4 linked regions of the Saccharomyces cerevisiae S288C genome follow. Changing the gene in region 1 together with any one later gene gives a genetic interaction. Each region holds a gene or a part of one and is shown on either strand. Other genes may lie near its edges. The genes, in order: RAD59, SML1, RFA2 and EST2.

What was found.
Region 2: of RAD59 (region 1) and SML1, changing one enhances a phenotype caused by changing the other (phenotypic enhancement), as found in Saccharomyces cerevisiae (one study listed by BioGRID).
Region 3: mutations in RAD59 (region 1) and RFA2 together harm fitness more than expected from each alone (negative genetic interaction), as found in Saccharomyces cerevisiae (3 studies listed by BioGRID, with this or other methods).
Region 4: mutations in RAD59 (region 1) and EST2 impair growth when combined (synthetic growth defect), as found in Saccharomyces cerevisiae (2 studies listed by BioGRID, with this or other methods).

What each region holds. Positions count from the first base shown.
Region 1 is NC_001136.10:342,443-347,293, reverse strand, and holds RAD59 (Rad59p), read left to right. Parts: upstream 1-2,340; coding exon 2,341-3,057; downstream 3,058-4,851. Other genes in the region: USO1 (Uso1p), read right to left, coding at 1-1,629; small subunit rRNA maturation protein TSR1, read right to left, coding at 3,309-4,851. UniProt on the Saccharomyces cerevisiae protein: Involved in the repair of double-strand breaks in DNA during vegetative growth via recombination and single-strand annealing. Anneals complementary single-stranded DNA.
Region 2 is NC_001145.3:155,488-160,197, reverse strand, and holds SML1 (ribonucleotide reductase inhibiting protein SML1), read right to left. Parts: upstream 816-4,710; coding exon 501-815; downstream 1-500. Other genes in the region: CMP2 (calcineurin catalytic subunit A), read right to left, coding at 1-18; HUG1 (Hug1p), read right to left, coding at 1,232-1,438; NTE1 (lysophospholipase), read left to right, coding at 1,940-4,710. UniProt on the Saccharomyces cerevisiae protein: Strong inhibitor of ribonucleotide reductase (RNR1) and is involved in regulating dNTP production.
Region 3 is NC_001146.8:45,735-50,909, forward strand, and holds RFA2 (Rfa2p), read left to right. Parts: upstream 1-2,552; coding exon 2,553-2,559; intron 2,560-2,667; coding exon 2,668-3,482; downstream 3,483-5,175. Other genes in the region: tetratricopeptide repeat-containing protein EMW1, read right to left, coding at 1-2,288; putative SCF ubiquitin ligase complex subunit SKP2, read right to left, coding at 3,663-5,175. UniProt on the Saccharomyces cerevisiae protein: Binds to single-stranded sequences participating in DNA replication in addition to those mediating transcriptional repression (URS1) and activation (CAR1). Stimulates the activity of a cognate strand exchange protein (SEP1).
Region 4 is NC_001144.5:763,636-770,649, forward strand, and holds EST2 (telomerase reverse transcriptase), read left to right. Parts: upstream 1-2,906; coding exon 2,907-5,561; downstream 5,562-7,014. Other genes in the region: septin CDC3, read right to left, coding at 1-502; NKP2 (Nkp2p), read left to right, coding at 1,173-1,634; TAD3 (Tad3p), read right to left, coding at 1,631-2,438, 2,495-2,546, 2,615-2,723; BUD6 (formin-mediated actin nucleation enhancer), read right to left, coding at 5,683-7,014. UniProt on the Saccharomyces cerevisiae protein: Telomerase is a ribonucleoprotein enzyme essential for the replication of chromosome termini in most eukaryotes. It elongates telomeres.

The sequences.
Region 1 (4,851 bases):
ACCGGTGGTAACATTTCTTGTTATTTCACGTAGTTCTTCGCTATATTTGTGATCCTGTTGGAAAAAAAACATAAAAATATCAGTTGTGAAGAATAATTTAAAAGGGTTCAGATTCAATTCTGCGTCATAATTTAACAGGACTTCGAATAGATTTGCCTTGAAAGAACCTTCATATTCAGTGCCATCCTTCCCGTCGGTATCTTTATCTGAATCACTTTCTTTATCAGATTTGTTAGAACCACCATTTTCTTTAGCATTGTCGCCGACATTATTTGTTGAATTATTACACAATTGGACTTGTTTTAGTAAAAAATCTCTTTGAAGATCAAAATTATCCATGAAATAAGCCTTTAATAGTCTAGAACACGCAACTCTTGTATCAAACGTGTGAACGGAGTTGGCATAGAGCATCCAATTTATCAAGATGCTGACTACAGGAATTAATTTAATTGGACCACCGTTTGCAGTAGAGTTTACAGGTAATGAAGGATCGAAATATGGAACATCGATCTTACTAAACTCTAGCTGTGCATGTTCATTACTTCTAACCATGTTTGCGGCAGTCAAAAGAGCAACCGGTCTAACTTTTTTTGGGATATTATGAAAGAATGCAAGTCGCAACACAACCATTAATACGCTTGAGTCAAGCAACGCATTTTGATGCTTAGTGGTGACAGTATTTCCTGGCTCTACTGTTAGGCTGACGATATCTAAAGCTGTATTGATATTAACTATCCTTTGATCATTCCAAAAAAAAACTTCATCTTGAGATATTGGTTCACTCAAAAGGTGTGCCAGTTTTGGCAAGTTTCCTGTCTCAAGGAATAAAGTTTGATTAGAAGTGTTATACTTCAGGATGTTATTGATCAACGATAAACAATCATTGACGACGAGAGAGCCTCTTAACCCACCTTCTTCTTCGATGATGGAAAAGAGCCTTTCAAAAATGTTTTCAAAAGCAACCAATTTTTGAACGTGAGGTGAATCGTTCACTACTGCCATTAATAATAAAATAGCTTCATCCCTGATGGGCTCATGCATGTCATCTAGGAGTGAGACCATTGTGGATATGCTCGTTGGAAGTGAAATCAAAGCACTTCTCGCCTTCAACGGCCTCGTGGCCATCACTGCCTCTAGTAATTGAATTGTGTACAATCTAATATGGAAATTATCGATTTCCCAAAATTCAACAAGTAGGTGAATTAAATCTTCAGACTGCGTCAAAGCATCAGCAATCCATAACGAGAACTGATCTACTTGTTCCTTTTCTTGCTTCATCACCAATGGTGAGGGATACTTGCCATTCTGCAACCGCGATTGTTGAGAAATCCAACCTCTAGTTAAGTCGTCATGGCCATCGCCTCTGATGAAAAGAATCAAAATTGTTTCTAATATAGCCTTTACCGAATCTTCATCCATATAATCACGTTTCAAAGTATTGAGCAACGGTTTTAGCCCGGATGCAATCACTGATTCTCTATACTGCCGGCTAAATGCCTTTAATCCCAGCACAGCGGATCTCCTATCGCTAATCAAAGTGGAGTTCTCAACTCGATCGCACAACGTCGGAATGGTTTCATCCACAGATTGAATTTTTGGTTGCTGTATCAGTCCTTGAATGATGTCCATTCTTGATAGGAGGGTTGTTATAGATATTAATCACTCGAAGTCGTGAACAAGAATTGTCTTCTCTCCAGTATTCAGTCTCTGTGATGTCTAAACCCTGTTAATGTGCAAGGTCTATTTTTTTCGTAAGAACCACGCGCTTTAGGCTTTATTTCTGGTAATAATAGCAAGAAATAAGAACAGACAGTTGCAAATCTAAACGACTGTCCAAACGAAAGTATCAAGTTCGCTAAATTTACTTCGAAGACAGAAGCCAGTAAATTTTGTTTTCTTCATGGAAATAGTTTCCAAAAAGTTCTTAGTAATTACCATATGTTCTTGTATGTGGCGCTGCGAAAGAAAGGTTAGCCGACCGGCATCACCCATAATTGTATAATATAGCAATGAAGCAACTTGTTGAAGTTTTCTTTAAAGTACTATAGTATTGAATAATATCATGTTCACTTGATAAAATTGGGTATTTTATTGACCATTATATCGCGTTGGACACTAATGTCTTTCAAGTTGGTGTCACGTCACGTGCTTTTCAATGTACTGGGGCAAATTGATTAGAGGAAGCCACAGTTTGGCAAGGGCAGATATGATAGGAAGCAGTAACGGCAAGGAAGGATAAGAACATCATTGAGGGAGTCTGTGGCAGTTTAGCACATGCTTTGGACCATTAAAGGGTTACGTAGAGGAGAAGAGCATATTTCAGGATAAACAGACAAAATAATGACGATACAAGCGAAGCCCAGTTCGAGCATATCGTATGATTCGACTACATACGGCACAGCACCGGGCTTGGATATAAAAGAGTTCCAAATCATCGAAGATTGGAATGGAAGACCTGCCAGCGCTTGGTCGGTGCAGAGGATTGGGCTTCTACAGTCCAAGATCGAAAGGTACACGTACAATATTTACCACAATAATAAATATGGGAAGCACAACTTATCTAAGCTGATACCAGGGCATGCTCTCATTCAGTTCGCTAATGAAACATTCGGGTATGATGGTTGGCGAATGGATGTTATAGATGTTGAGGCCCGGGAGTGCCAGCCCTTCACCGCAGTAAATAATGGAGAAAACACCAACACTAGTGAGGTCAAGTATACAGTTGTGGCAGAAGCCCAAGTAAAGGTTACCTTAAAGGATGGCACCAACACACAGTGTGGTGGGCTAGGTAGAATTACTTTGTCCTCGAGAGGTGAATGTTATAACAGGTCGAAAAAAGAGGCTGTAGGCGATGCGTTAAAGAAGGCGTTATTGAGCTTTGAAAAAATCATACTCGATTATGAGACTAAGATTACAAATAATTACTATGTCGATGGCTTGTATGGCTCAAAAAAAATTAAAAATGAAGCTAACACCAATTACAACTTATTGTCAGCGACTAATAGCAAGCCGACTTTTATCAAATTGGAGGATGCTAAAGGCACGCATATCAAATAAAAAAAAAAAGAAAGAAAAAGGGCACAAGTAGCAAATTTATTTTGCTTGATAAAAAGTCATAATTTTCACATAATGCATTAATACCTCTACAAAATAAGTGGCATTTGTATTTGATGCGAACGGAACAGGTATCGACTTACCTTTATCAACAGTATCGTTGATACTATTTTATTAGCATTATATTATACAAATAGATCTCACGTACTTATATATATATATATATATATATATACGTGTATATTTTTATCACTTTACATACCATTCCAAGGTAACGAAGGCATGGGCCACATACGTTTGTACAAGGACATAGCAACAACATCCTGCGCAGATAATTTACCATCAAATGTAGCCTTGAAATAACCATGCGTACCCAAACTTTCTTTAATGAAACCTGACCTACCTGATTTGGTGAACAGTGGGATAGACTTGAACCATTCCACATCTTCTGGTCTGAAAAACATGTAACGTACAGTAACCACAGTTTTGTGGAATCTGAATGGATGACCGGTCAAAATGGCTCTCTTTGCTAATATTCTTGAATGGTCTGCATTCAGGAATGTACCGTGACCAATCAATTCAATATTTTTGGCATCTGTTGGTGATGGCTTGAAAAAAATTGCAGGTGACTGGGTGAAATCTACGGGAGCAATACATGTGGCAACTGATACTGTATCTGGATGCAGAAACCTTTCATACTTGTGAACATTATTAGGACTGTTAGAGCCTTGAGAAAATAGAGGTTGAATAGTGTATCTTCTAACACCGTATTGTACTACGATAGGCTCCTGAGAAGGCACAGGTTTGTCATATTGTTCCCATCTTTGTAGAGAGAAGTTGACTACCGCATTTTTGTGTTCATGAAGTAGTAATCCGTAGACAGCAAATAATAGTTGTTTAGGATCTTGAATCTTTTCAAGCAGAAACTTAGGAAACCTGATGAACATCCTAATACGATCACCTGCAATGGCCTGTGCTTCATTCTTGGTTTCCTTTATGATTCTGTTTTTAGTGTTTTTGTAATTGCCAATCCTTAATAGACGTTTCCATTCCGCTGGTGATGATGGGTCCTTTTCATCAACTTGCCAATCACAGTTGTATAAGTTTTTCAAACCTCTATACCTTTTCAAACGTTCGATGGCAGATTCACTGGGCTCTAGTTCGATCTCATCGGGGAACTCTCTGTCCTCCTTTTCCATATCTCTAAATTCCCTCAGTTGACGTTCTTCTTCTTCGGGTGAAAGCTCTTCAAATCCTTCATTATCCTCTATGTCATATTCTTCGTCGCCTGCTACCTCTTCATTGTCTTGCTCCACCATCATTTCATCATCAATTTCCATCATTGTCTCATCCTTTCCATTGGTCTGTTCTGCCTCTTCTTCCTCATTTGCGTCAATGACGTCATCCAAGTACCACTTCGCTTGATAGTCAGAAGTTCCCTTAGGAACTGCCGCCTTTTTTGATGTTTGTTCCCTCCCTGGCAAGAAGCCATGGTCGTCGTATCTCGCGGTTGTCAAACCGTCGTACTCAAAATCCTCGTCATAATCTGACCAATCTTCCGTGCCTTCTGGGGCATATTCGTCCAAAGTATCTCTATTCATATTACTTTCGAAAACTGTTTGTAAATCCAGCTCTAAGCTCAGACTATCTGTAGCTTTTTCCTTTATTATTTTCCTTTTCTGCGAAGATTCACTGATTTTTTCTATCTTATTCAGTTGGAAGTCACCAAAATCAGGAATATGGACCAGTCTATTGGCGTTGAAGCCAATACCACGGACGGTCCCCTCAATTACCAGG
Region 2 (4,710 bases), on another chromosome or scaffold:
TATAGCGTCTGAAGACATTGCGGGTTCAAGAAGAAGTACTGGCTCCTGTGTGACTCTATGGGAGGGAAGGAATATCTCCTTTTGTTTGTATCGTAGCAATTGGCTTAATACTGTTCCAGTTGGATATATGTTTTTTCTAAGGAAAAATAGGAGTCTTGATGAAAGGTATTTTTAGGACATTTTCTCATTTGTCTCGGGCCGAAAAAAAGCATTGATCAAGAGAGGGGGACAATGTTGGCGCTAGCGATATCTAGCTGTATCAAACGTATTATAGACTATCTTTGATAAAGACACAGAAATACAAAAATACGTAGAAGAGACATATATATATATATATATATATATGTATATAAAGGGAAAGGAAAATGCACGGGAGAGAATGTTTCGAGAATGACAACAATAGTAGGACGAGAGTCCCTGAAAAGAAGGGTATCTAAGAGAAGAAAAGAACAGAACTAGTGGGAAATGGAAAGAGAAAAGAAAAGAGTATGAAAGGAACTTTAGAAGTCCATTTCCTCGACCTTACCCTGGTTGAACATAGATTTTAGTTCGCCAGAACCAAATTTGTTGTTGTTCATGTCATGATCGATAGAGTTGAGTCTCTCCTCCAAATCCTTTTCCCACATTTCTAATGAAGAAGCGGAGGCAGAAGCGGAGCTGCCCATGGAGTTTTGAGTAGACAACATAGGAACCTCAGCCATAGGTGGCAAAGGCACCCTTCTAAATTCCGCCATGGTCACGGTACGCAATGTGGAAGGGGCTTGTTGTTGTTGGCAGCGATTTTGAGCGTAAAAGTAGTCTTGGGAATTTTGCATAGCGGGAAATTATTGAGCAGTTGAAGAGAGGTTAGTGAGACCGTAAGATCACAAAGGAGCAGATAAGACATTTAAAAATGGGAAGGGACAGCCAGGAAAAAAAAAGATCTCTTTTTATACCCGCTGAGGCGGAATCGGGCGAAACGGGCGATGTTCCAAAACAGTAACGATATGTTATGGCTATTTCCTTTTTGGGACGGATGACTTCCCAAAATGGCGACCGCGGCGGGTAGTGGAGCCCGTTTGGGCTCAGCGCGAGGTAACAAAAAAAAATTTCAAATGTTGGCCAAAAAAAAACGTCAATTATTCCTATGTACGAGGTCTAAACATAAAAACATATCTACTATATTCTGACGTATTTATAATCTATTGTTCTTTCCTATCATTGGCCTACAAAAAAAAAGAGAAGCATGCTCTTAGTTGGAAGTATTCTTACCAATGTCAGAAAGACCGCCGCGACGTTCGACGGCAATGATGTTGGCAGAAGGAACGTGATCCTTGGGGAATAAGTAGCCGGTCTTGACACTCTTGTTGACACGGTTGCTCATTGAGCACAAAGTGTCTTGTAGGACGACATCGTCAAGGAAGAATTGCTTTGGGTTAAGGCCTTGGTCCATGGTCATATAGTTTTTTTTTATTGCTGATGTGGTTTGTAGTTATATATATACGTATATTATTTTTCTTATAAGTAAAAGAACAAGAAAGGAAAGGAATGAAAGAAATAGTTTCGAAAAGACAATAGGAAACGCCAAAAATTCATGGCCTTTTATATGCTGGGAATCAGTTGCCTTCGTATCTCGTTTCTCGTTGCTGTGGAAACGAGATACGAAGGCAACCTTTACGTATTTGCCCTAATGTTTCCTTTTCGAGACCTTTGACACATCTTCTTACCCGAAACTAAAAACCTATATTAAAGTGCTTTTCAACCCTTTGAGTAAGTCCGATTTTTATTTAAACCCTTCTTTTTTTTTTTTTTTTTTTTTTTTACAGGTTATAAGGATCTTAAAAATCTGGGAAACTTGACACTTTTCTCGAAAGTTTATTAAGTTAAAGAAACACCACAAAACTCTAACGAATATAAAATAAACAAGAAAAGAATAGAAAGGCTTGGCTCTAGTTTTTGCATGCGTTCAATGAATTGCACTACGAACAACACCAACAATACCGGCCAAAACACGAAAAACAGTCTTGGCTCCAGCTTTAATTCCAGTAATTATACTTCTTATAGATTCCAGACATGTCTCACCGACCAGATTATTTCTGAGGCGCAGACGTGGTCACTTTCATCCCTCTTCAACTTCTCGTGGGTTGTGTCCTACTTTGTTATGGGTGCCTCTCGTATGATCTTCAGGTACGGTTGGTATCTGGCAACTTTATCGCTTTTAAGGATTCCGAAGTGGATCTTCTTCAAGTTACACCATGTTCAGTTCACTCTTTCCTTTTGGCTGATCCTGTTTGCCCTAGCCGTCATAGTCTTTGTGACTTACACCATCATGAAGGAGAGAATTCTATCCCAGTACAAGAGGCTGACCCCGGAGTTCTTGCCGCTGGAAAATACAGGTAAATCTGGCTCCAGCGCCAATATCAATGCAGCTTCCACTCAGTCAGCCAACGCGCCACCCGCCATAGGTTCCTCTACCACGGGTGCAAGCTCGATTATAGACTCAAAAAAGCATTCATTGAAAGATGGCAACGAAAACGAAACCTTTCTTTCATCTTACCTTGACCAATTTCTCAGCGCCATCAAAATCTTTGGCTATCTGGAAAAACCAGTCTTCCATGACCTGACCAAGAATATGAAAACTCAAAAAATGGATGAGGGTGAGATTTTACTGTTGGACAGTACTATTGGGTTTGCCATCGTCGTTGAAGGCACCCTGCAGTTATATCATGAAGTAGATCATTCAGATAAGGACCATGGCGATGAAACTGACCACAGTGACACGGATGGTCTTGACGACCAGGATAGAGATGAAGAAGACGAAGAAGAAGATGATGACATTGATAACTACGACACCAAATCTTGTTCTTCTAACCTCATCGATGAAGAAGATGAATCCGTTGGTTACATTCATCTGAAAAATGGACTGGGAAATTTTCAACTGCTAAATACAGTCAAGCCAGGAAACCCGCTGACCTCCCTCGTGAGCATTTTAAACTTATTCACGCATTCCATGTCCTCGTATGGCAACAGTAACTTTCCCTCTGAGTTATCGTCACCTATAGACACAACGGTGTCGGTCAACAATATGTTCTGCTCATCAGAGCAGAACTTCTCCAACACAGATTCCATGACAAACTCCACCAACAGCTTTCCAACGTTCCCCTCTTCAATGCCTAAACTTGTCGCCCGTGCGGCTACAGACTGCACAATTGGTATTATCCCACCTCAATCGTTTGCCAAATTAACCGCAAAATACCCACGGTCTGCTTCCCATATCATACAGATGGTTCTCACCAAGCTATACCATGTTACGTTCCAAACTGCTCACGACTACTTAGGTTTAACAAAGGAGATCATGGATATCGAAGTTTTACTAAATAAATCCATCGTTTATGAATTGCCTTATTATTTGAAAGAGGCCGTTATTCGTAAGTTTAAAACTGTAGATAAGTCGAGCGGATCGGCTGATTTAGAACCGAAACCCAAAAATAGTAATGCTTCCTCTAAATTGAAGAAACCGCCCAAAGCGAAGCCATCTGATGGTATCATTCAATCGCTTAAGATTGCTAACGCCAACGCTAACACAAGTTCGAATTCCCTTTCACTGAAACCAGAATTCACCCACCATCCAAGTTCGAGACATGTCGTACTGGGTTCAAGAGACCAATTTAATCCTGGTGATTTACTGTCAAATGTCCCACTGTCTAGAACTATGGATATTCTGTCACCCAACCCAATCCATAATAACAACCGCAATAAATCAAACGGTATTAACACTTCTACCTCTAACCAACATAAGCGATCTTCTAGGAGTAGCAGTAACAATGCTTCCGTACACTCTAAGAAGTTTTCTTCTTTGTCCCCAGAATTGCGCAACGCACAACTTAGTACATCGCCCTTGTCCTTGGATAATACTTCTGTTCATGACCATATCCACCCAAGTCCCGTTCATTTGAAGGGACGGGTCTCTCCAAGACCTAATTTACTGCCCACAACATCCTTTTCTGCTGCCCAGGAAGAAACCGAGGACTCTGCTTTAAGAATGGCTTTAGTTGAGGCAATGTTAACATACTTGGGTGTAAACAAAAGCAATATGTCCGTTTCATCTTCTTCGATAGCAAATATGTCTTCTTTAAACTCTCCTCAACTTAATGAAATGTATAGCCGCCGTCCAAGTAACGCAAGTTTTCTGATGTCCCCTCACTGTACACCATCTGACATTTCCGTAGCTTCATCATTTGCCTCTCCTCAAACTCAACCGACAATGTTAAGAATCCTACCCAAAGAATACACTATCAGCAATAAAAGGCATAATAAAAGTAAAAGCCAGGACAAAAAAAAACCTAGAGCTTACAAAGAGGAGTTGACACCCAATTTGGATTTCGAAGATGTCAAGAAAGACTTTGCACAAGGCATTCAGTTGAAGTTCTTTAAAAAGGGCACCACAATTGTTGAGCAGAACGCTCGTGGTAAAGGCCTATTCTATATCATTTCCGGGAAAGTTAATGTGACAACAAATTCGTCCTCGTCAGTAGTATCATCAATGTCTAAACCAGAGCAGGTTTCAGCCCAAAGTTCACACAAGGGTGAAAATCCTCATCATACTCAACATTTGTTATACTCTGTAGGATCTGGTGGTATTGTGGGCTACTTGTCCTCTCTAATTGGTTACAAATCATTTGTTAATATCGTTGCCAAGAGCGATGTCTATGTTGGATTTTTATCTAGTGC
Region 3 (5,175 bases), on another chromosome or scaffold:
GGATATTCACTAGTCACTAATAGTTCTACTAGTTTTTCAATAATTGGTAAGTCGATGGAACCTTCGCCAGATTTGTCCCTCCTAATACTGACTAATTGTTTACATGCAGTTAAGACATCCTCCCACTCATTCAACTTAACAGCAACAAGCATGTAATTCTCCCAAATTTTCCAGTTCTTTTGAGCGTCACATGAAATGGCTCTTTTCAAACAACTATAAGCTTCTTTCAATTTATCCATTTTCGTATATGCAGCGCTCAAATTTGACCATGAAAGAGCATGATAAGGGTCTAATGAAACACATCTGGTAAATGCCTCCGCAGCTATCTGCATTTTACCACATTGTAATCCAACGCAACCATAAAAATACCACGTTTCAAAGCTTAATGGGTATTGCCTTAACGAGTCATTTAAATGTTTCAAGGTAGCAGAGTAATTTGGTTGTGCTCCAGACTTTGGAGGAGGATTAAAGTAATACTTTGCAAGGGAATTTTTTGCGTTGACGTATTTTCCAATCTCCCAACTTTTTTCCCATAGGGATGGATCCTGTTTTATATCACCCAAAATGGAGTAAGCCCTGGCATCCGAATCATTTTCATTTATTCTTTGAAGAAGGATTTCTTCTGCCTTTTTTTCATCTCCAACAGCGGCATAACATAATGCAGTCTCGCATGCCATACCAAGTCTTTCATAAATTTCCACAGCGGACTTCAAAATACCCAGCGACATATATTTTTCAGCTAAGGTGGCATCCAATTGCCACCTAGGGATGAACGGCAGCTGGTGGATGTATGACAGCCTGCTAGCAACATTGATTTCGCTTGAACTTGGAACCAATTTACTCTTAATCTTCAAATCCAATTCTTCTACGAGGGATTGCATTTGTAAAAGTCCTCTTTCAATAGTTTTAGCCTTTGTTGTCTCAATAATTGACCTTTCCCATAATGATCGGGCGAAAATAGACCAATTTTTGTCACCGTTTTGATATAATATTCTAGAAAGCAAAGCAGTAAGTTCTTCTTCCACAAGAGGATCCTTGGCCGGAGTTGTGTTCTTTATGGTGTAAAGACGTAACAGCAACTGGATGTTGTCGTAATCAGATAGGGTAGGTTGATCGTTAGGGTTCAAATCCAGCAACAACTTTGGAATATTTTCTTGACGTAGTGCCAATGGCAATAGTTTATCTTCTTCATAACCTTCATTTAGGTCTACCTTTTGTCTTTTACTATAAATTTGCTCGTCTAGAGGTTCATCAGCAATGGACTCAAAATGAGGCTTCTCCAATAATAGATCGGACTCTAAAGCAAATGTTTCTGGTGTAGCAGATGTCGTTCTCAAAGCAAAATTTTGAAATGTGAAGGATTTGGCAAGAATGATCAAACCGGCATGAGCCTTTTGCTGATATTTAGTTCTAGTAGCGCGTGCACCCGTCATTACAAATTCAAAATTTGTTATCTTTTTCGCTCTGGTCAAGGATGGCAGGCACAAATGTTCTGTGTTGATGGCCAATGAACATTTGACATTCTCTAGATAGTACATTGCACAAAGTTCTCTTTTGAAATCTTCGTGAATACTCTCCGGTAATTCCTTAGTTATCGCATATGCAAGGTCAGCAGACTGATATATTGCAGATGCAACACTAGCTTGGAACCCAGAAGGTTCTGGAATCAGTGACAATTGCGTCAAAAGAGCTCTTGCCCACCACCAATAAGCTACAGCTAATAATCCAGGAGTAGACTCAGCAGAGATAATAGGTAGCGGAATTTCTTGATCCGGGGTAACATCAAATAAGCTTTTTTGGCCGGTTATCCTTTCAAGTAATAATAGTGATAAAACCAAATACAATGGATCATCCATAAATTCGTAGGCAGGCTGGCCCATAATGGCTAATGAGCGGGAAAGGGCTGTATTAACTGCTCCTATTTCAATTCCAGTTTTGCCAAACAAACCTGAGATTGCTTTCAACCTAGCTGCTGGGCCGGTGTAGTTATTTTGAATAAAGGTCTGTAAGAGGGCAATAGCCAAAAATAGCATCTCATTTTCTTGGCCCATTTTGAAAACCTCAACGTTAAGAAAGTCATTTAGAGCAGCAATAACACTAGATGTGGATATTTCTCCCGAAATACTAATTTTTCCCTTAAATTTGTCCACAAATTGCTGTACTAGCTGGTATGATTCACCACTGATGATATGTTCAGCCTTTTTCACATATGTCTGGTCGAAAGAACCACTTTTCAGAGATTCTACTTCTGCAGACAGCAATAATTTTGCATGCAATAACGTCTCCATAATTTTGCAACCACTAGTTTACTTTTTGCCTGGTCTGATAGCTTCTTTTTAGCAATTCCTTTGGCCTCGATGAGCTTCCATTTTCAATTTTCATCTTTTTTTTCACGATGCGAAGTTTCTTAGATAATTATCGCCATATACGAAACGCGTTAGGAAACGCGTTCTTTCCTTTATAATAAGCAATATTATATCAACTTAAGGTGGAAGTAATGTGGCAAAATCGATAGCGACTATCTAGAACAGGCTAGTTTAAGCATATACATAATGGCAAGTATGTATTAGTGCTAGGAATTGGAGGATTTGCTCTTTTCTGCATCATTTTTTTTATTTTTATTGGCGAATGTTAAAATTACTAACAATGGATGGGATTCCAATACAGCCTATCAACCATATAACGAATATTCATCAGTAACGGGCGGTGGCTTTGAGAACTCTGAGTCCCGCCCAGGTAGTGGGGAGTCGGAAACTAACACTAGAGTTAACACCTTGACACCTGTGACGATCAAACAAATTCTAGAGTCCAAACAGGATATTCAGGACGGCCCCTTCGTTTCGCATAACCAAGAACTTCATCACGTTTGTTTTGTAGGTGTGGTGAGAAACATTACAGACCATACTGCAAATATTTTTTTAACTATTGAGGATGGAACTGGTCAAATAGAAGTGAGAAAATGGAGCGAAGATGCAAATGACTTGGCTGCCGGTAACGATGACTCTTCTGGTAAAGGTTATGGTTCGCAAGTCGCCCAACAATTTGAAATTGGCGGTTACGTAAAAGTTTTTGGTGCTTTGAAAGAGTTTGGTGGTAAGAAAAATATACAGTATGCGGTGATTAAGCCCATAGATTCATTCAATGAAGTGTTGACGCATCACTTGGAAGTCATCAAATGTCATTCCATAGCCAGTGGAATGATGAAACAACCTTTGGAGAGTGCATCCAACAACAATGGGCAATCATTATTTGTCAAGGATGATAACGATACATCTTCCGGCTCCAGTCCGTTACAAAGAATTCTAGAATTTTGTAAGAAGCAATGTGAGGGCAAAGACGCTAATTCATTCGCTGTTCCCATTCCATTGATCTCGCAATCCTTGAATTTGGATGAAACTACCGTCAGAAACTGCTGTACGACCTTGACTGACCAGGGTTTTATCTACCCAACTTTTGATGACAATAACTTCTTTGCCCTATGAAAATATATAGATTATTTTTTTAGCATTTCTTAGTATTCGTTTGTGTATTTCTACTAGGTAAGTACCAAAATTTGCCGGAAATAGAGTGGAAAATGGAACCCGTTCCAAGAAGGGGTAAGATGCATGAATATTAAGTTGGTTGCATAAATATGCTATATAAAGTCCACTACAAAAAGTCATTTATTTTTGCCCGTAAGAATAAAGAACGAATCCGTCCTTATCTCTGACTTCAATGGGAACATTTACACGCAGTACGGGCTTCAATAATAGTTCCCAGTCGTATCTGGTTCTAGGTGTACATAATGAAAAATGTCTCAGCATTCTTATTTTGACAGCTTTGAATTTTGACAAATTTCTCAGGAAACACCAGAGGTTAATATTTGGAATATCTTTAAAATTCTCTGGATCTTGGAAATCATTGAAAAAATTTTCCAATGTCACATTTTGTAAGAACTCCTCCACATCTAAATCTCTATATTCGATGGTTCGGTTCTTCAATTTGATTAAACTATCTCTTAGGCAACGCCTTACAGAGTTGTTCCAATAGTAAGTGTGGTGAATGTCTGATTCAGGGCTCATTACTGTACTTAAATTTGGAACTGCATTAGCATTTGGTATGTTATCTCTTATGGAATTATTTTCGTAACCGATTAATGTTTCTTGATCGTTCTCGTCGCCAACATCCTCATCTGTCTCATCAACACTAGTAATTGTTCTTGCTAGATGTTCCCAAAACGATAGAGGGGATAAAGGATACACATTGGTAAAGGGGATATTGATTACGTTAATAGAAATATTTTTACTTGGAAGTCTCTCCCAAAGTAAGCGGTAATAATGGTAGAAAGAATGAAATTCAGGGATTCTTTGTCGTTGAAAATTTTGTAGCTGTGCCGCAGTTAACATGGCGGGCTTTTTGTTATTGTCTGGTGATGGGTTATTTGAAACATCATTTCCTGTAGTTCTAGAAATATAGTTCAGATTTAAGGACAATACAACTGAAGATGTCGGCGGAGGAGTAATTATCTTCGAATCTGATGGCGCTTCAAATAATGTTTCTGTCATGGAATTGCAGTCATCAAAATCATCTTCTGTATCCAAACTTCGCTGTTGGAAATAATATGATTCGCCGACTACCTGTTCGTTAGTGAAACATTTGCTATTACAATCAATTGTTAGATTGGATAACGATGGGAAACAACTGCATAACAATAAGTCGAATTTACTGTTAATCTTCAGTAAGGATAGATGTTTGACCATTTTAAAGTAAGAGTGAAACAAACGTAATATTCCATTTCCAGGAACTACATCACATGAATCTAAAGTAAGTGCAGTGATAGGAGACTGTAAACTGTACAGTTCATTATCTTCGTTCTTTAGAAATAGTGGTAAGAATTCCATTGGAGTATCTAGCGATTCGGTGTCTATCGTTACATTTTCTAGTTTAAGTTCATTAATTATGCCGAAACAGCAGAATAAACTCGGTCTTAGTACGAGCTTTTGGTGATGGCGTTGACGATTAAAGGTTCTTTGTCTTTTATTATTAGCTTTGATTTCCAGTATTTTCAACCTTGGCAGAGAATAATACTTGGATTCGTATTCTTTGACAAATTTTTTGGATAGTTGGAAAGTCCTCAAATCTTCGTTTGTGATGGATTGCTGGCCCTTGATTATTTTCTTGAAAAAATCTCTAGAT
Region 4 (7,014 bases), on another chromosome or scaffold:
CCTGACCCTCCTCTTCTTCCTGATCATTTGCAAGTTCCTCCTCGTAATCTTTCACTAAATTGGCCTCAATATCATCATTATTAAATAAAGTTTTCATTAAAGTTGTCTTACCAATACCATCAGGGCCGACACATAGGAGATTGAAACTGAATCCGTTCTTTATGGACCTTCTGTGCCATTGCTTGGGCAAATTAGCAAACCCTACATAACCATTGATTTGACGACGAATGAACTTAATCTCCGGTTGGTCAGGCAGAACTTGACCCTTTTCGCTCTGAGAGGAGGTGATGCCCATACCGAGGCCGGGTTCCACCTTTACATCGGATTCAGCTGCCTCAAATCTCTCGCTGTCGTCATTTTGCGTACCGTTCGTGTACTGCGAGTCCACTCCATCATGATCCTGCGACTCTTGTTTGATCTGAACATCATTGAATTGATCATGCTGACGCTCTTCTTGTTCCGGGTCCTGCTTAATGGACACTTGTTCCTCCTTTAAACTCATGGCAACGTATTATAGGCCGATGTAATCGTTCAGTTGTCGTGTGATCCTGGATTTGATATTTTCTTGATCTGCTTTCCTCGAGAGATTTTAACTTAATACACAAAACAACACAAAACGCAATTCCTAAAACCGAGACAAAAAATGGCAAAAAATGGGAAGCGAAAACACGCCCCCACCATATCATTACACACGTAGATCATAAAAGACGAAAATACTAAATTAGCCGCCCAGGTGGTTCCTTTTTACGAAAGGAAGGAAGGAGAAATCTAGAGGTGCTGCTATATATGTTTGCAAGGTGCGAGAATATTCTGTCACAATTATCAAGCAGCAAGTTATATAAAGTTGTTTCTCACAGCTTCTTGCACTCCCTTGCGGTGCCTTTCCTGCACCACTAGTGTAACTGCTGATGTCTTCCATTTGATGTCAGAATCGATTTCTTGTTACGCCACGAACAGTTAATATATAGAATTAAAGGAATGATCTTGTACAACTACAAGATAACAATAGATTAACAGCCAATATTACCGTCGCCGCTGCCCGCTTCGCGGAGAAACAGCGAAAAACAACGAAGATCGTTCTCGAAAAAGCCCAAAAGCTGGGTATAACGCAACAAAATAATCATAGATTTGACAATTGTGCTCCCAATCTTGCTTTGAAATTACCATTATAAATGAACTCTGAACAGCTGCTGCATAACTATGTTTCGGATTCGCTACTCACTACTCTGATAAGTTTTCAAGAGTTCAAGCAGCAACTACAGTCGTACACGAGCGACGAGCAACAACTGCAACATTGGTACGAATTGCTTCAGGCCAGGGATGCGCGAGTGACCTCTGAGTTAGAAGCACGAATCAAGCAGTTTTTCATAACGTTGCGCTCTAGATTACTGCGATTTCTGGAAAGCGAGCAACTATCACACTCCCTTAGCCTCGAGACACTGATCGACGCGCTGTACAAGATTAATGACCTGTTGCAACAGCGTTTGCAGATTCTGGATGATGCTATTCAGGAAAAGACCTCGGAACTAGCAGAATTTGAAAATATGGTTCGCTCACCGAGTGCAGGAGACAATGCCATTCCTGGCCTATTACAAATTATACAATCTTATATTAATCTATTAGAGGAAAACTAGCAGCAGACATCCCGGTCAACCTGCCCCACAGGATATTCCTCGCCGATCCATTGAAAGGCTTCGTATGTTGAGTTTAGCTGTTTGTTATCGTTCATGCAGTACCCGTCACCACTCGTTAATTTTAAGCTCCCGGTGCGCTGCATCTCTGTAAGGAAGACCACTCGTCTCACACGAGAATGGATCAGGGCCATGGAGCACATTGAGCACGGCTCATGGGTCAAATAGACGTCGTAATCAAGACACAGATAAGAGTTTGCGTCTTCGTCTACACCCTCCCTGAGTCTTTCGCCTACCGCACGGATGCCCACCATTACACTGTGGTCGATGGGTAGCGAGTTTTCGCAGTTTCTGCCATCTTCTGCCACCACTTTGTCCTTCTTTCTTGATGGGTCAACAAAGACGCTCACCATTGGAAACTGTTTTCCTGCCGTTGCCATCTTCACAGACAACGTCGACGCACGCGATAGCTCATTTCGTACTTCCTGCATGTCTATTTTATAGTCGTTCAATATTTGATCATTGGGGTTGCCGTTCCAAATCAACGGCCAGTACTTCACAGACCAGGCATTGTTCAGTTCCTTTGTGCTGGGCGCAAACTCAGGCACTTCGATATCATCACTCAGTTCATACTTTTTCGTTCCAACCCAAATACTCTTCAATTTATTGTTTATTTCACCTTCGTCGCAAATATACTCTTTCGAACACAACACCACTTCCAAGGTGGAGGTCTCGATGTCCTTGCGGATCCTTTTCAAATGTCTCAATGAAACAGGGTCATTTTTCTGAAAATCGTTTCGAATTAGCCTACTTTACTAGTTAGTTTACTTCCATGAATACAAAAGCAAAAATCATATACATACTCTATTACTTTCTTCGAGTCTCTTGGATCTATTCTTATACTCCATACATTGACTGCACTTATATATGTTTGAAAGTTAGTTAATTGATCCTGATTTCTGTTAGATCTCATAGATACATACTTAGTTTGGGCGTATTTACATCTTTGAAATTTCTAATTTGCAGAAGCCGATTTTCTATTATCCCGTTCTGATAATCGATTTTTAGCGGATTATTAACTTTCTTAACCATAACTAACACGCCCTCATGAATATTATCCTTCTGAGGTTTGAATAATATATACCTTTAGATGAGCTATTGGTGATTCGCATTTAGGAATGAAAAAAAGTAAAGCATGGCAATGAATGACACAAGTGAAATAGAAAAGTGAAAAATTAAAAAAAAAAAAAAAAAAAAAAAAACTGATTTATACTCATGAAAATCTTATTCGAGTTCATTCAAGACAAGCTTGACATTGATCTACAGACCAACAGTACTTACAAAGAAAATTTAAAATGTGGTCACTTCAATGGCCTCGATGAAATTCTAACTACGTGTTTCGCACTACCAAATTCAAGAAAAATAGCATTACCATGCCTTCCTGGTGACTTAAGCCACAAAGCAGTCATTGATCACTGCATCATTTACCTGTTGACGGGCGAATTATACAACAACGTACTAACATTTGGCTATAAAATAGCTAGAAATGAAGATGTCAACAATAGTCTTTTTTGCCATTCTGCAAATGTTAACGTTACGTTACTGAAAGGCGCTGCTTGGAAAATGTTCCACAGTTTGGTCGGTACATACGCATTCGTTGATTTATTGATCAATTATACAGTAATTCAATTTAATGGGCAGTTTTTCACTCAAATCGTGGGTAACAGATGTAACGAACCTCATCTGCCGCCCAAATGGGCTCAACGATCATCCTCATCATCCGCAACTGCTGCGCAAATCAAACAACTTACAGAACCAGTGACAAATAAACAATTCTTACACAAGCTCAATATAAATTCCTCTTCTTTTTTTCCTTATAGCAAGATCCTTCCTTCATCATCATCTATCAAAAAGCTAACTGACTTGAGAGAAGCTATTTTTCCCACAAATTTGGTTAAAATTCCTCAGAGACTAAAGGTACGAATTAATTTGACGCTGCAAAAGCTATTAAAGAGACATAAGCGTTTGAATTACGTTTCTATTTTGAATAGTATTTGCCCACCATTGGAAGGGACCGTATTGGACTTGTCGCATTTGAGTAGGCAATCACCAAAGGAACGAGTCTTGAAATTTATCATTGTTATTTTACAGAAGTTATTACCCCAAGAAATGTTTGGCTCAAAGAAAAATAAAGGAAAAATTATCAAGAATCTAAATCTTTTATTAAGTTTACCCTTAAATGGCTATTTACCATTTGATAGTTTGTTGAAAAAGTTAAGATTAAAGGATTTTCGGTGGTTGTTCATTTCTGATATTTGGTTCACCAAGCACAATTTTGAAAACTTGAATCAATTGGCGATTTGTTTCATTTCCTGGCTATTTAGACAACTAATTCCCAAAATTATACAGACTTTTTTTTACTGCACCGAAATATCTTCTACAGTGACAATTGTTTACTTTAGACATGATACTTGGAATAAACTTATCACCCCTTTTATCGTAGAATATTTTAAGACGTACTTAGTCGAAAACAACGTATGTAGAAACCATAATAGTTACACGTTGTCCAATTTCAATCATAGCAAAATGAGGATTATACCAAAAAAAAGTAATAATGAGTTCAGGATTATTGCCATCCCATGCAGAGGGGCAGACGAAGAAGAATTCACAATTTATAAGGAGAATCACAAAAATGCTATCCAGCCCACTCAAAAAATTTTAGAATACCTAAGAAACAAAAGGCCGACTAGTTTTACTAAAATATATTCTCCAACGCAAATAGCTGACCGTATCAAAGAATTTAAGCAGAGACTTTTAAAGAAATTTAATAATGTCTTACCAGAGCTTTATTTCATGAAATTTGATGTCAAATCTTGCTATGATTCCATACCAAGGATGGAATGTATGAGGATACTCAAGGATGCGCTAAAAAATGAAAATGGGTTTTTCGTTAGATCTCAATATTTCTTCAATACCAATACAGGTGTATTGAAGTTATTTAATGTTGTTAACGCTAGCAGAGTACCAAAACCTTATGAGCTATACATAGATAATGTGAGGACGGTTCATTTATCAAATCAGGATGTTATAAACGTTGTAGAGATGGAAATATTTAAAACAGCTTTGTGGGTTGAAGATAAGTGCTACATTAGAGAAGATGGTCTTTTTCAGGGCTCTAGTTTATCTGCTCCGATCGTTGATTTGGTGTATGACGATCTTCTGGAGTTTTATAGCGAGTTTAAAGCCAGTCCTAGCCAGGACACATTAATTTTAAAACTGGCTGACGATTTCCTTATAATATCAACAGACCAACAGCAAGTGATCAATATCAAAAAGCTTGCCATGGGCGGATTTCAAAAATATAATGCGAAAGCCAATAGAGACAAAATTTTAGCCGTAAGCTCCCAATCAGATGATGATACGGTTATTCAATTTTGTGCAATGCACATATTTGTTAAAGAATTGGAAGTTTGGAAACATTCAAGCACAATGAATAATTTCCATATCCGTTCGAAATCTAGTAAAGGGATATTTCGAAGTTTAATAGCGCTGTTTAACACTAGAATCTCTTATAAAACAATTGACACAAATTTAAATTCAACAAACACCGTTCTCATGCAAATTGATCATGTTGTAAAGAACATTTCGGAATGTTATAAATCTGCTTTTAAGGATCTATCAATTAATGTTACGCAAAATATGCAATTTCATTCGTTCTTACAACGCATCATTGAAATGACAGTCAGCGGTTGTCCAATTACGAAATGTGATCCTTTAATCGAGTATGAGGTACGATTCACCATATTGAATGGATTTTTGGAAAGCCTATCTTCAAACACATCAAAATTTAAAGATAATATCATTCTTTTGAGAAAGGAAATTCAACACTTGCAAGCATATATATATATATATATACATATAGTTAATTAGTACTAATAATACATGAAATACTGACAGCTTATGATGCTGATAAGGAAAATATTGCCGCAAACTTTGTAATAAGCCAAAAGCACTAATCTCTTTTCCGTTAGCTTTCATAAAATTAGTGTATTTAAGTAAACCCCGGCCCAAAATATGCTCTCAAATTTGCTTCATCCTTCTGCTTTCTTATCCTTTCTACTTCTTCAAAGCCTCCCGATTTTTTCAGGTTTGAATTACCCACAAAATTTTCCAGTTCATCATCAAATTCATTACTAGCTTTAAGTTTTCTTTCCATCTCCCACATCTTCTCAGCCTTGTCAATAGCTTCGACCCTACTATCGTGGTCAGGGTTTAAAGATTGGACGGCCACCATAACTTGCTCCCTTACCTGATTAAATGTGCCCGGTCTCATAATAGGCAAAATAGGATTACTTTTTGATCTCGAAGGGTTTTTTTCTTGTTCTTCACAACATAACTTAATAAGATCGAAAGTTTCTAATGCCTTACCCAAGTCTTCCTTCAAATCTAAAATCAACTCTTCCTGCAACGTGAGAAACTGTTGTTCTTCACAGACCTTATCGAGCTCAGCTTCCCAAGTTTTTTTCCAATGTGGTTTTTCAGTATCAATAAACTCCTGTAGTTTAAGTACATCTGCTTGGGCATTTTCTAAATCCTTGGATACGGTTTCTAGCTTCTTTTTAGCGGGCTGAGACCTACGCTCAGCAACGTCTTTCCTCATAATTTCGATTACATCTTGCAAATCATCTACTTTACTTAGCAGAGTATCGGATAAATCACCGAGTTCGGTCTGTGATTTTTCCATGTACATTCTGTTGGAAGAGTTTTTGGCAGAAAATGATAAAGACTTAAAGTTATCGACCTTTCGTAAAATGTTGAAAATAGTCTCATTAATATTTGACCTATTAATATTATGCACTTGTTTTATTTTCCCCAATTCGTACTGAATATCTTTGATCGTTTTATCATCATCTTTTTTGTTTTGCCCCACAAGATCGTGTTTGTTAGCTTCAAGGCCAGGTTGTGGTAAAACTTCCGTTTGCTTGCCGCTAATTGCAGAACCAAAACTCATTTCTTTTAAATGTCTTATTATATCATTCTGACTATTCGATATCTCCATCTTAACTGTGTCAATGAATTCCTTGATCGTATTATTTGGATTCTCTTCGAGCTTTAGCTCGATAACAAACCCTTCTTTAATATCGAGAAGATTTAGTTCCTCTAATTCATAGAATACTCCATATTGAGGATCCATAATATATATGTCTGGGAAGGAATTTGCTCCAGGAGAATACGCAAAGCGCTCAATAAATAGGAGCCTTAATGCGTTTTTTGTAGTAGGCAGTTGCACATGACACTTCTTTGTTTTGTCTCCTATCCTTAAAAATACTGGACAAGTTCCATTCATGGCTTTATCTGGCGAAGTTGTAACAACGCTTGATAA